Linked DNA regions of Pelodiscus sinensis. The protein of the gene in region 2 purifies or fractionates together with the protein of the main gene of each other region. This does not show direct contact. Links are inferred from orthologs where the notes say so. Each region holds a gene or a part of one and is shown on either strand. Other genes may lie near its edges.

What was found.
Region 1: the proteins of DBN1 (region 2) and TMOD1 purify together in Homo sapiens (co-immunoprecipitation; 3 studies listed by BioGRID and IntAct, with this or other methods). This does not show direct contact. The link is inferred for Pelodiscus sinensis from reciprocal best matches to the Homo sapiens genes DBN1 and TMOD1.

Annotation. Positions count from the first base shown.
Region 1 is NC_134716.1:398,654-405,764, forward strand, and holds the start of TMOD1 (tropomodulin-1), read right to left. Parts: upstream 3,096-7,111; 5' UTR 2,939-3,095; intron 2,787-2,938; exon of another isoform or gene 2,566-2,786; intron 1-2,565. Other genes in the region: TDRD7 (tudor domain-containing protein 7), read right to left, coding at 6,180-6,400. UniProt on the Homo sapiens protein: Blocks the elongation and depolymerization of the actin filaments at the pointed end. The Tmod/TM complex contributes to the formation of the short actin protofilament, which in turn defines the geometry of the membrane skeleton.
Region 2 is NW_027465882.1:1,791-8,818, reverse strand, and holds the start of DBN1 (drebrin), read right to left. Parts: upstream 3,036-7,028; 5' UTR 2,980-3,035; intron 620-2,979; 5' UTR 573-619; coding exon 507-572; intron 1-506. UniProt on the Homo sapiens protein: Actin cytoskeleton-organizing protein that plays a role in the formation of cell projections. Required for actin polymerization at immunological synapses (IS) and for the recruitment of the chemokine receptor CXCR4 to IS.

The DNA of each region.
Region 1 (7,111 bases), on a different chromosome or scaffold from region 2:
GAGGGGCTGTGAGACCGGGAGACATTTCGTTACAATGGGGTAAGATACCCGTGCAGAGAGAGAAGCTGGGTAAGTGACGGCACCGTTAATTATTGGGATCCTTACACGCCTCCTGCTGGGTCTGACCGCAGCCAACAAGCCACGCGGATTACAGCGCTGTGGCAGCACATGCTCTAATTACAGGTGAACTGCAGAGCTAAAATTAAAATTCTTTGAACCAAAATAGCTTGTAGGTAATTAACTACAGGGCCTCATTCTCCATTCTGTTATGCTGCTTCTGTACCAGCACAGTACCAATGAAATAACAAGGAATTCCCCCAGCATAAAACTGCTGTACGGAACAGAAAAACGGGCCTCTAACAGTTAATTAAGCGAAGTCATTAATTCAAACTATAAAAATGAAATACGGATTCAGACCCTATTAAATGTCTGCAAGTGCTTGGAAGAAAAAGGAATCCTGGACAGTGAGCTGGCAATGGAGCGGCAACGATACATCACAAAGAATTGCTTTTGGGGAAAGAGCAGCGAATACAGAGATTGCAATGCAACGCGTCACCACACCTACCCTGGAACATGAATTCAAACGGCCTTCCATCCCACTACTGGGAAACCGACCAGAACAAGTGCACGAGAACCAACGGGTAATAAACCACAACGCGTCACTTTATAAGGGCTGGGGAACCTTTCTGGGGAAGGGCTGCTGACCCACAGAAAGATCAGGTGACGCTCCTCACATTTCCTTCGCACACCAGAGCTGGGGGAACCCAGGCTTTCGGCGGGGGCCACAAAGGAGGGGTTCAGTGTGGGGAAGGCTTGGGGTCTGGAGGGAGGGTGCCGGAGCGGGTTTGGGGTTGGTGGCTCTGCGAGGGCAACAGGGTGCTGGGGCAGCCTGGGGATAGGAAGTAGGGCACAGGAGCCATTTCCTCCCTCCACCCATGGGCTGGATCCGGTTCCAGCTTGCCTGGCTGGCCCGTGAGGCTCGGGGCTTCCCCCCACAGCATGGAGACAGTGTTGGGGCTCCAGCCCTTTGGGGCAAGACTGCAGGGGTGGGGGCTGCAGGGCCAGCACCAGCTCCCCAATGCAGGGGAGGGAGCCCAGGGCCTTGGGGGCTGGATCCGGCCCCCGGGCCTGAGGCCCCCACCCCTGCCCTATGGGATGGTACGGCCTGCCTCCAAACACCCCCACAGACGTGCCGCATGCTTCGTTATCTTCGTGACAGACAGGTACGAGGCTAGGAGGTGCTGCCAGCGGGGTGGGATGGGGACTAACCACACAAACAGCCAGGGTATGTAAATGCTGAGCAGGAAAAGGGAAACCGACTCAACGCGGAACAGGGCAGGGTTGGGGGAGAAAGCGGAAACAGAGACGCCCTGGGGGGGCAGCCCTGGGGGGAGCAGAAATGCAGCGGAGAGCGAGGTACGAGTCGGCCATGGAACCCTGCTGGGAAAGGCAGCTTTGGGCAGCAGGCCCCGAGGGGCACCGAGAGCCCTTCCCGTGACACTGAGCCATGCCGCCAGGGGCCCTCGGATCCCAGCACTGGCCAGAGGGCAGTAACTCGGGGACTAGCGGGCGATTCAAATCGCCATGGAGCTCAGCGGAAGCAGGCTGGAGAGCGCGCGAGCATTCCCAGGGTGCTAGAAACGTCCTTAGGGTCAGCGTTAGGGGCTTTGCCAGCTCAGAGCCTAGCGGGGGTGGGTGTAATTAGCAAGCAGTGCCAGCGGCATGGCAGCCAGCCCGGTAGGGACCTGCGTGCCACACTGGCCCACTGCCCGACGGGGCAGCCGCTGGGGCGGGGGAAGCAGGGGAAGAGTTGGGCTGGCCCAAGGCGGACATAAGGGAAGCGGGATGAAATCGCAACCGAAACCCGGGGCTGACCGAGGAAAAGCTGCTGAGAGACTGAGCGTGTGGGCCAAAGCCACGGGCCAATCACTGCAAGACAGACCAAGTGACAGGCCCTGGGAGCCTCCCGACAGAAGGGAGGGACTGCTTGCGAGGGCATGCTCTGGAGAGCCTTTCCCAATGGACGCCGGACATCGGCCCTCACACCTGCGGGGCAGCTCACACGGCTCAGTCACTCAGAAGCCAGCGCCTGATCCCAAGCAGCATGGATCTATGCTGGGATCGACAAGCCCCACAGACCAGCCACAAAGGAGAGTCTGCTCTCTGCCAGCGCTGGGGAACACAACACCCCTCCCGCCGGCCAACGCACCAGGCCGGGCCCGCGAGCCACAGCCCCAAAACGCCTCTCTGGAGGAGGCACCCAAGGAGGAGTCTCCATCACGCTGGCCACAAGCAGCAGGCCCGAGCGGTGACTCTATCAAGGGCGGGGAGCCAGTCCGAGGCCCAGCTGGGCTGGACAGAAATAGCCGAGCGAGGCACCTCACGGACAGGAAGGGCAGCGCCTCTGGGAGATTCATGGTCATTCGGCGAGGCTGCCAATGTTCATCCAAGTCCCTGTGCACGGAGCATCGAAGGCACCGCTATACTTCGCCGTTCTGACGCACAGAGGCCCCGGCACCTCTGGGCACCCCGGTAATAGTTTACCCCACACCCAGCACCGCTCACCAGCTCCACACTCACTCTGGGGCTCAGGGGAGTCTCTGCTGCGAGGGGGCTGGGAGCATGGGACTGGGGCAGGAGCAGGCAGCCGGGTCACCTGCCCCAGGGGGAGCAGGGCTGCACCCGCCCGGCCCTGGACAAGTCCGCGCAGGTGGAGTCCAGCCCAGCATGGGGCCGGGCAGGACCAGCCCCCACTCCCCAGGTTCCAGCCCCTGTGCCCAGCTCCCCTGCCCGGCGCCTTGCGCGCAGCCAGCCGGGCTATTTATAGCGCTCGGTCCCGCGCGCTGACAGCCGAATATTTTGCCCAGATATGGGCTGGGGCCGCGGGGAGCCGGGTGCGGGGCGCGCTGGGGGCCGGAGCCGCGGGCGCGGCGCTTACCGGGGCTCGGGGCGCACGGGCGGGGGCGCGGGGCCAGGGGCGCACGGGCTGCTGCGGCCGCGTCTTGCCCGGGCGGCGAGATGCGCTGCCCTGCGTCCTGCGGGGAGGCGGCTCCGACGCCCGCGGCTGCCACTCAAGCGGGGCGGGGCGGGGCGTTCCCCAACACGCCCCCGCCCTACCCCCACCGCCCCAGCCCTGATCCAACCTCTGCCCTTCCCCGCACATCCAATCGCTGCCTCCACCACCTCCCCAAACCTCGTCCCGCCCCAGCGCGCTCCCCCAATCCAACCCAACCCTTTGAACCCCCACACTCTTACACCCGCACCGTGCCACAGCGTAAATAGCACCGGGGCACTGCCGCCTGCAGTGCTACTGGGAAAAGCAAAGCCTGCATCCCCCAAAGGTCTCTCTTCAGCTCTCCCCCAGTACTGAAAGTAACTCCCCCCACGGAGCCCCAGTGGACTCCGGCACGCTGCTGGGGCAGAGGGCCCTGCCAAAGGGTGGTGGCTGTTGCAATCATACAGTGCCAGGCAACAGCTGGAACACCTGGGGTACAAACAGGCTCCTGCCCTTGGCAGCAGGGCAAGGCTCCTGCCCCCAGTGGCAGCAGTGATGGCACAAGAGTCCAACCCTACAAGGAACGGGGCAGGGGGAGGTAGCAATAGGGATCCCCAAGCAAAGGACCAGTACGGCTGCAAGGTGCGGCCGTGGTGCGGCTTCTGCCACAGGCCATTATAACATGTGATGTACTTCAAGGCAAGAGTTGGACAGAGTGATGGGAACTGGCCTGGTATTTGGGGCAAACGTGGAATTGGCAAAAGGAATGAAAATGGCCAGTGAGCGTTAGAACACGGCACATCCAAACTCTGTTACCAACCCCCCACTTGGTTGGGCAAGTTACAAGGAAACATCCAAGATCAGGGCATGGACTCCAATCAGGTCTAGCACTGGCCAAACTCAGGCATCCAAAAGAAAATCAGTGGCAGAGACCGTATCTCAGTGCTGACTCGCACGGCTCATGCCTCAGATCTTTTGGGTATTGCCACTGCAGCAGACTACCCTAGCAAAGCTACCTGCCCAGCTGAAGATGTACAAAGATTCACAACTTCATTGAATAGTGCGCAAGGAAGTTTTATCTTCCAACTCCACCACTATGGCTGAGGTAACAGCATTGGGCCGGGTGGTGGGGAAGAGAGCTAGAAATACGCAGACCGGTTTGAAAAGCACTGCAACCCCACTCTCACTGGTTGAGAGCCGGACAGCACTAACATCTGCAAGAGACCCTCCAACACCAGCAAACTGGAAATCTCAAGGCCTGAAGAGAAAGGCAAAAGCTGGCTTAGCTGAAGCGTTCTGATATTCGCAGCTGTGGAATGTATGAAGGAAGCGCCCGAGCAATTGGCCCAAGCCAGAAGAAATCAGCCCCTGGAAAGCCATTAAGCCATTGCTGGGAACAAGGCACTGAGCCGTGGGAAAGAGGAAGTGGTGCCACAAGATTTCCAAGACACTTGCTTTGTACAATTACAGAGACAAGGGGGAGAGAAGTGACTGACAACTGTGGGAGTAGCAATTGAACACATGCATTATGCTCCCCGAGCTGCAATTTCTAGGTCTATCCTGAACCTCAAGAGTGTTTTTTTCTCAGGATGCTCCACCACTGATATAAGATGGTGAAACAGGTGCATCCTAGCCAGCATGGGCTTTAACAGCTACTGTTCATTCTTGCTTTTTCATGACTGCAAGGACAGCAAGGACAGCATTGATCTTCGAAGCAGACTTTCTGGAGGCTTGTCCAGCCTCACAGGACTTCAAGCAGAAAGCTGGTTTTGAGAGACTTCTTGTTTGCAGGTGATGCAGCCTTGGCTGCCCACAGTGAATCTTCCCTGCAAAATCTCTTGGGTAGCTACAGCATATCCATTTACAGCACGCGCTACCCATGCCGTATTGATTGTCCCCAAGAGTTCTCCAACAGTTTTTGTGTGTTGCCTTTTCGGATATCTGATTTGTGCCCATTAATTCTTTCCCGTAGAAACTGTCCAGTTTGGCCAATATACATGGCAGTGAGGCATTGCTGGCATTGGATGGCATAGATCACACTATGTACAGTTAAATGAGCCTCTGATTTGGTGGCTGATGTCATTGGGTCCAGTGATGAAATCACTTGTGTAGATGTGTGGGCAGAGTGGGCACCACAGCAGATTGCAGGGGTGGATGGACACACATCAGATAGCTGAAAAGGCAACACACAAAAACCTGTTGGAGAACACTTTAATCTTCCTGGACACTCATTAATGGATCTCTAAGTTGCAGTTTTGTTTCAGACCAATTCCACAAGTCAAATACACAGAGAAGGATTGGAACTTAACTTCATTCACAAGTTTAATTCTCATGTCAATGGTCTGAACCCGGACAGAGGATGATGCGCACACTATCTTCCACCTTTTAATGACCTCACCAACCAAACAATGGAGGTGCTAATGGTTCTTAAGAGCCTCTTGTAACCATTTGAACTATCTACTCACTGTATCTCTGTCTTCCTCCCCTCTCCTTTTTCCTCCCCCCCCCCCTTCCCTTATTTATTCTTGGGTCTAGACTTATACTCCAGTCATCTGAAGAAATGGGTTTTGCCCATGAAAACTCATACCATCTACACATGTGCTGTTAGTTTTTAAGGTGCTACTAGAATATCTGTTTAAGATATACGTAGGTTATGCTTCTGCCACCTCTATGCAAAAGCAAGCACAATTCTTACAGTCTGTATTCTGGGATATGATATTTCTGAAACTACCAACAAATAAGGAATCAGTTCAGATGTGATGTTTGTTTTCATTAAGCACGGGAATAACTGTGATGCAGAAATTAGCAACTTGTAAATCAACTCAAATTTTGACCAGTCTCAAACTCCAGTAACTTTAAGAACGAAAAAAGAATTCAGCAATAAAATAAGACAAAAGCCACCAATAATTTTATTGATAAATACAATTTTACTTAATCTGTATTTTCACTCCAACATTCTAACACCTCACCAGTAAACAAAGTGCAAGTTCTTGGAAAGTCAATTAAAAGAAAACAGAAACTTGTTAAATCTCTTTTCACAGTCTACTAGCATCAGATTTTTCAAACCTCACATTCATATATTCAAGGCCATGTAAGAACAGTTAAATTTCTCTTTAAAAGCCTGATACATTTTCTTTTATTGCTGAAGAAACTGAATTAGTTGCAATAGTTTCAGAAACAGTGATTAATTAACCTTTGAAAGCTCCACAAAATATTGAGACATAAAGTCATGAATCCATATATCAGTCTCTGGCAGTGAGGTGTCTACTAAGTAGGTCACTATTTTTCGATCCCAAGAGTTTGTGCTTTCATTAACTGCTTGTACCAGTGCCACCAGTGGTTTCTTCTCTACATGGTTTCGAAACACTATGGATGCATCTTCTGACCACTGTTCGCATTTCACTCCTAGGGGGGGAAAAAAAAAAAAAAATCAAGCAAATAAGGTCATTTAAAGAAAAGACTGATGTAAGTGACAAAAAAACCCAGCCCCAAGATTCTTAGTAATCTAGTCCTTAAGGAAGTGGAAGAAGCTCAAGAGGCTAGCAGCTCTGTAAAAGCATTCCAACCCTCAATCTCATTTCCAGTGGCTGTTCTAGCCTCCCATATAAGGACTGTCAAGTGTGTCACATTGTGAAAAACAGCTACTAACCTTCCAATAACTGTTGTTCCTCAAGAGGAGTTGCATCCATCCATTCCAATGTAGGAGTGAGCAGCCCCAAGCATAGCTGCTGGATTTTCCCCCTTAGTGGAATCGGTCGGGTTGGCTCTAGCACTATTATCAGCCGGGTTGCTGGATGCTCGTAGCATTGGTATAAGGAATGGACACGTGCAACATCTCAAACAACAGTTACAGAAAGATTAGTAACAGTTTTCTTTGAGTGCTTACACATGTCTGTTCCAATGAAAGGACGCGCAAGCAGTTGTGCAGGAGGTTGGCTCTGAGTTCAAGGACAAGGCGACTGCAACACTGTACAGCCAAAGCTGGCATCGGCTATGGCTGACTGGGAACAGGCACAGTACACTGAGAATGTGTGCATGGAGGACTAGGTTGCTGCCCAGCAGATACCTTGAATAGGGACTTGAGCTAGGAAAGCAGCCGAAGAGATGTGAGAACTT
Region 2 (7,028 bases):
CTGCGGGACCGTCACTCCCGGCAGGGCGGGCACGTGGCTCCGCCTGGATCCCAGGGGCCCAGTGAGGCTCCAGGGCGCTGGGGCAGCCCTACCCCCCTGGCCACCCCAGCGGGGCCCGGTGCAGGGACACAGAGCTCCACTAGGTGGGGTCCCTGGAAAAGCTCTGGGGCCCCGAACACCACAGGCCCCCCCAAGCTCCGGCAGGCCCATCGCACCCCCCAGGCGTGTGCCGAGTCTCCCCCGCCAGCCGGGGGCGCTGCGCGGGGCTCAGACACGCACTGCCAAGTGGCTGGAGGGGCTAGAACCGCCCCACCCCCACTCGCCCCCTCCTGCGCACAGACTAGTGTCAGGCCAGGAACACCCCCCCCAGCATGTAGGGCAGGCACCCCACTCCTGCAGAACGGCCCGGCTCCACCCCTCGCTGCATCCCACCTGTGGGGCTGCAAACAGGCCAAAAGGGGGTGTCCCGGCCTGCACCCCCGCATGGAGCCCTCTGCCCCACTCACCCAGTTGACCAGGACGTATTTGGGCAGGGCTGCCTGGGGCTCCTTCACGCTGCAGAAGCCATACATCACCTTCTGGTTCTCAAAGTGGCCAGAGAGCTCCTGCAAGCCGCCTCCTGCCGGGCGGGGAGGAATCACAGGCGCTCAGTGTGTCCCCCCACGGGCGAGGAGGAATCACAGGCGCTCAGTGTGTCCCCCCACGGGCGGGGAGGAATCACAGGCGCTCAGTGTGTCCCCCCACGGGCGGGGAGGAATCACAGGCGCTCAGTGTGTCCCCCCACGGGCGGGGAGGAATCACAGGCGCTCAGTCTGTCCCCCCACGGGCGGGGAGGAATCACAGGCGCTCAGTCTGTCCCCCCACGGGCGGGGAGGAATCACAGGCGCTCAGTGTGTCCCCCCACGGGCGGGGAGGAATCACAGGCGCTCAGTGTGTCCCCCCACGGGCGGGGAGGAATCACAGGCGCTCAGTGTGTCCCCCCACGGGCGGGGAGGAATCACAGGCGCTCAGTGTGTCCCCCCACGGGCGAGGAATCACAGGCGCTCAGTGTGTCCCCCCACGGGCGGGGAGGAATCACAGGCGCTCGGTCTGTCCCCCCACGGGCGGGGAGGAATCACAGGCGCTCGGTCTGTCCCCCCACGGGCGGGGAGGAATCACAGGCGCTCGGTCTGTCCCCCCACGGGCGGGGAGGAATCACAGGCGCTCGGTCTGTCCCCCCACGGGCGGGGAGGAATCACAGGCGCTCGGTCTGTCCCCCCACGGGCGGGGAGGAATCACAGGCGCTCGGTGTGTCCCCCCACGGGCGGGGAGGAATCACAGGCGCTCGGTGTGTCCCCCCACGGGCGGGGAGGAATCACAGGCGCTCGGTCTGTCCCCCCACGGGCAGGGAGGAATCACAGGCGCTCGGTCTGTCCCCCCACGGGCGGGGAGGAATCACAGGCGCTCGGTGTGTCCCCCCACGGGCAGGGAGGAATCACAGGCGCTCGGTGTGTCCCCCCACGGGCAGGGAGGAATCACAGGCGCTCGGTGTGTCCCCCCACGGGCAGGGAGGAATCACAGGCGCTCGGTCTGTCCCCCCACGGGCAGGGAGGAATCACAGGCGCTCAGTGTGTCCCCCCACGGGCGGGGAGGAATCACAGGCGCTCAGTGTGTCCCCCCACGGGCGGGGAGGAATCACAGGCGCTCAGTGTGTCCCCCCACGGGCGGGGAGGAATCACAGGCGCTCGGTCTGTCCCCCCACGGGCGGGGAGGAATCACAGGCGCTCGGTCTGTCCCCCCACGGGCGGGGAGGAATCACAGGCGCTCGGTCTGTCCCCCCACGGGCGGGGAGGAATCACAGGCGCTCGGTCTGTCCCCCCACGGGCGGGGAGGAATCACAGGCGCTCGGTCTGTCCCCCCACGGGCGGGGAGGAATCACAGGCGCTCGGTGTGTCCCCCCACGGGCGGGGAGGAATCACAGGCGCTCGGTGTGTCCCCCCACGGGCAGGGAGGAATCACAGGCGCTCGGTCTGTCCCCCCACGGGCGGGGAGGAATCACAGGCGCTCGGTGTGTCCCCCCATGGGCAGGGAGGAATCACAGGCGCTCGGTGTGTCCCCCCACGGGCAGGGAGGAATCACAGGCGCTCAGTGTGTCCCCCCACGGGCAGGGAGGAATCACAGGCGCTCGGTCTGTCCCCCCACAGGCGGGGAGGAATCACAGGCGCTCGGTGTGTCCCCCCACGGGCAGGGAGGAATCACAGGCGCTCGGTGTGTCCCCCCACAGGCAGGGAGGAATCACAGGCGCTCGGTGTGTCCCCCCACGGGCGGGGAGGAATCACAGGCGCTCGGTGTGTCCCCCCACGGGTGGGGAGGAATCACAGGCGCTCAGTGTGTCCCCCCACGGGCGGGGAGGAATCACAGGCGCTCAGTCTGTCCCCCCACGGGCGGGGAGGAATCACAGGCGCTCAGTGTGTCCCCCCACAGGCAGGGAGGAATCACAGGCGCTCGGTGTGTCCCCCCACGGGCGGGGAGGAATCACAGGCACTCGGTGTGTCCCCCCACGGGCAGGGAGGAATCACAGGCGCTCAGTGTGTCCCCCCACGGGCAGGGAGGAATCACAGGCGCTCAGTGTGTCCCCCTACGGGCGGGGAGGAATCACAGGCACTCGGTGTGTCCCCCCACGGGCGGGGAGGAATCACAGGCACTCGGTGTGTCCCCCCACGGGCGGGGAGGAATCACAGGCGCTCAGTGTGTCCCCCTACGGGCGGGGAGGAATCACAGGCACTCGGTGTGTCCCCCCACGGGCGGGGAGGAATCACAGGCGCTCAGTGTGTCCCCCTACGGGCGGGGAGGAATCACAGGCGCTCGGTCTGTCCCCCCATGGGTGGGGAAGTATCCACAGGCTGGCTGTCCTCCCCCCAGGTGGCAAGTGCTTTGGGGAGGGGTGTTTAGGCTCTCTAGCCCCCCTTGGCAGGAGGCCCAGGGCAGGGGACCCCTTACCTCCCGACGCAGCCAGCTTCAGGTCATCAGAGTCATCCTCGTAGGTGTACAGAGCCCTGCGGGAGGAGAGCCTGTGAGGGGCACAGCAGCGCTCCACTGCAGCCTGCACCCCACCAGCAGGGGGCGGCCTCGCGCCATGCACAGTGCACCTGCTGCAGGAGCTGGGGTGGGCCGGACCCCCCCATAGCAAGGGGGGCCAGCAGGGGGCGGGCGGCTGGACTCTACACTGGGCACTCCAGCTACAATGCGAAGTCCCTCCCTGGGGCAGTGGTGTGTGGGCCTGGGGGCTGTCAGCGTGGGCCTCTCCTCTCCCTCCACAGCGGGGCCAGCGGGAGCAGGGCGGCGCCCGAGGCCCAGGGAGAAACCCCCCCTGGCTGCGCCCAGTGAAAGGCGACGGAATCCCAGTGCCTGGCGCCCACTGGGTGAGCAGGGAGCCTGGGGGAGGGCGGCAGGGACTGGCAGCGGGAGGGGGAAATGGGTCCCAGCCCCCCGCCCTAGCTGCCAAGCAGGCCCTTTTCGCCAGCCCCCCAGGCAGCGTGCTGGCAGCTCCCCTACGAGCTGGGGGGGACCAGGCTTCACCCCTCTGGGGCCAGTCAGCAGCTGTCAGGCGGGCCCGTGGGCCTGGGGCAGCAGCCCCCCCCAGGCCGGAGCTGCTCACGTTCCCGGCTGCGTGAGCCCCTGGCAGGGAGCAGCAGCAAATCAATGAGCCATCAGGGTGCGATGGGGACTCCATGGAGACGGTTCCTTGGATACCGGCCCCTCTCCAGGCTGGGCTTGGCACGGCCCCCGCCCCCTGCCCCCCGTGTGTCCCCTGCCCCCCACAGCGGCCCCTCCTCAAAGGTGGGGGTGGGCAGCCGGCAGAGTCGGTCCAGGGCTGGTGGGCGAAGGCAGGGAAATTTCAGCTTATCTAGGCAACCAGCATCCTGTCTCCATGGCAACCACCCAGCTCTCCAGCTGGGATGGAACTCACAAGAGGAGGTGATTAGTGGGGAAGTGGGGGGGGGGGGGCGCTGGTCTCTGGCAGGGGCACTAGCTGCAGCACATCCCCCCTGTGCCCCCCCTGTGCCCCCCCCCCCCGACACAGACCACTCCCCACTGCGGACTGCCCCACCCGGGCCTCCCCCCCACCCCCAGGCTATCTGCATTTCCCCATCCCAGGCCCCGAGGGCTTGCTGCTTGGTGAAGCCGGGGCATTTGCTGACTCACCACATTCCCAGTCTGATGAGCTGTGAGCCCTCCGCCCCCCAGCCTGCCCTGTCCCATGTGGGGCGGAGGGCCGCATGGGTGCAGTGGCAGGAGGGGGAATCATGCGCCCTGGCCCCAGGCAGTCTCCAGCAGGCGTCTGTCACCCCTCCCTGGGGGCCCCAAGGAAGGACTGCCACATCCCGCCCCCTCCCACCCTGCCCCTTGCTCTGCCTGGCTCCCAGCCCCCTTTCACACACCAAACCCAAAGCCAGACATGCTCCCCTTCCCACAGGAGACTGGCCCCCCCGCCGTGAGACACAGAGAAGGACACCAGGGAGGCGAGTGCTAACCCGCTGGATCGCAGCCCAGGGCACCGCTGCAACTCACCAGAACAGAGGGGAGTCCCGAAGGGCAGCGCCCCAAGACACCGTCCTGCTCAGCAGTGGGGAGCCCCCGGGGACCTGCGCCCCACAGGCCCCAGTGGAGCGGGTCCAGCCTGGACCTGCACAGACCCCAGCACCGGGCGCTGCCCATCTCCCGGCAATGCCCCGAGGCTCTGCCAGTGCCAGGCAGCACCCTGTGCAGGGAACAAGCCCTCATTTCCCCACCCCCACCCCAGCCCCCCCAGTGCACAGGGCAGACTGGGGCTAGAGATGCCCATGGGAAGCGTGAGGGCCCTGCCGGGGGGCAGGCTGAGGCTGCAGGTGCCCACGGGAAGCGTGAGGGCCCTGCCGGGGGGCAGGCTGGGGCTGCAGGTGCCCAGGGGAAGCGTGAGGGCCCTGCCGGGGGGGCAGGCTGGGGCTGCAGGTGCCCACGGGAAGCGTGAGGGCCCTGCCGGGGGGCAGGCTGGGGCTGCAGGTGCCCACGGGAAGCGTGAGGGCCCTGCCGGGGGGCAGGCTGGGGCTGCAGGTGCCCACGGGAAGCGTGAGGGCCCTGCCGGGGGGCAGGCTGGGGCTGCAGGTGCCCAGGGGAAGCGTGAGGGCCCTGCCGGGGGGGCAGGCTGGGGCTGCAGGTGCCCACGGGAAGCGTGAGGGCCCTGCCGGGGGGCAGGCTGGGGCTGCAGGTGCCCAGGGGAAGCGTGAGGGCCCTGCCGGGGGGGCAGGCTGGGGCTGCAGGTGCCCACGGGAAGCGTGAGGGCCCTGCCGTGGGGCAGGCTGGGGCTGCAGGTGCCCACGGGAAGCGTGAGGGCCCTGCCGGGGGGCAGGCTGGGGCTGCAGGTGCCCACGGGAAGCGTGAGGGCCCTGCCGTGGGGCAGGCTGGGGCTGCAGGTGCCCACGGGAAGCGTGAGGGCCCTGCCGGGGGGCAGGCTGGGGCTGCAGGTGCCCACGGGAAGCGTGAGGGCCCTGCCGGGGGGCAGGCTGGGGCTGCAGGTGCCCAGGGGAAGCGTGAGGGCCCTGCCGGGGGGCAGGCTGGGGCTAGAGATGCCCATGGGAAGCGTGAGGGCCCTGCCGGGGGGCAGGCTGGGGCTGCAGGTGCCCACGGGAAGCGTGAGGGCCCTGCCGGGGGGCAGGCTGGGGCTAGAGATGCCCACGGGAAGCGTGAGGGCCCTGACGTGGGGCAGGCTGGGGCTGCAGGTGCCCAGGGGAAGCGTGAGGGCCCTGCCGGGGGGCAGGCTGGGGCTAGAGATGCCCACGGGAAGCGTGAGGGCCCTGCCGGGGGGCAGGCTGGGGCTGCAGGTGCCCACGGGAAGCGTGAGGGCCCTGCCGGGGGGCAGGCTGGGGCTAGAGATGCCCATGGGAAGCGTGAGGGCCCTGCCGGGGGGCAGGCTGGGGCTGCAGGTGCCCACGGGAAGCGTGAGGGCCCTGCCGGGGGGCAGGCTGGGGCTAGAGATGCCCACGGGAAGCGTGAGGGCCCTGCCGGGGGGCAGGCTGGGGCTAGAGATGCCCATGGGAAGCGTGAGGGCCCTGCCGGGGGGCAGGCTGGGGCTAGAGATGCCCACGGGAAGCGTGAGGGCCCTGCCGTGGGGCAGGCTGGGGCTGCAGGTGCCCATGGGAAGCGTGAGGGCCCTGCCGTGGGGCAGGCTGGGGCTGCAGGTGCCCACGGGAAGCGTGAGGGCCCTGCCGGGGGGCAGGCTGGGGCTAGAGATGCCCACGGGAAGCGTGAGGGCCCTGCCGGGGGGCAGGCTGGGGCTGCAGGTGCCCACGGGAAGCGTGAGGGCCCTGCCGGGGGGCAGGCTGGGGCTGCAGGTGCCCACGGGAAGCGTGAGGGCCCTGCCGGGGGGCAGGCTGGGGCTAGAGATGCCCACGGGAAGCGTGAGGGCCCTGCCGTGGGGCAGGCTGGGGCTGCAGGTGCCCACGGGAAGCGTGAGGGCCCTGCCGTGGGGCAGGCTGGGGCTGCAGGTGCCCACGGGAAGCGTGAGGGCCCTGCCGGGGGGCAGGCTGGGGCTGCAGGTGCCCACGGGAAGCGTGAGGGCCCTGCCGGGGGGCAGGCTGGGGCTGCAGGTGCCCACGGGAAGCGTGAGGGCCCTGCCGGGGGGCAGGCTGGGGCTGCAGGTGCCCAGGGGAAGCGTGAGGGCCCTGCCGGGGGGCAGGCTGGGGCTGCAGGTGCCCACGGGAAGCGTGAGGGCCCTGCCGGGGGGCAGGCTGGGGCTGCAGGTGCCCACGGGAAGCGTGAGGGCCCTGCCGGGGGGCAGGCTGGGGCTAGAGATGCCCACGGGAAGCGTGAGGGCCCTGCCGGGGGGCAGGCTGGGGCTGCAGGTGCCCACGGGAAGCGTGAGGGCCCTGCCGGGGGGCAGGCTGGGGCTGCAGGTGCCCACGGGAAGCGTGAGGGCCCTGCCGGGGGGCAGGCTGGGGCTGCAGGTGCCCACGGGAAGCGTGAGGGCCCTGCCGGGGGGCAGGCTGGGGCTGCAGGTGCCCACGGGAAGC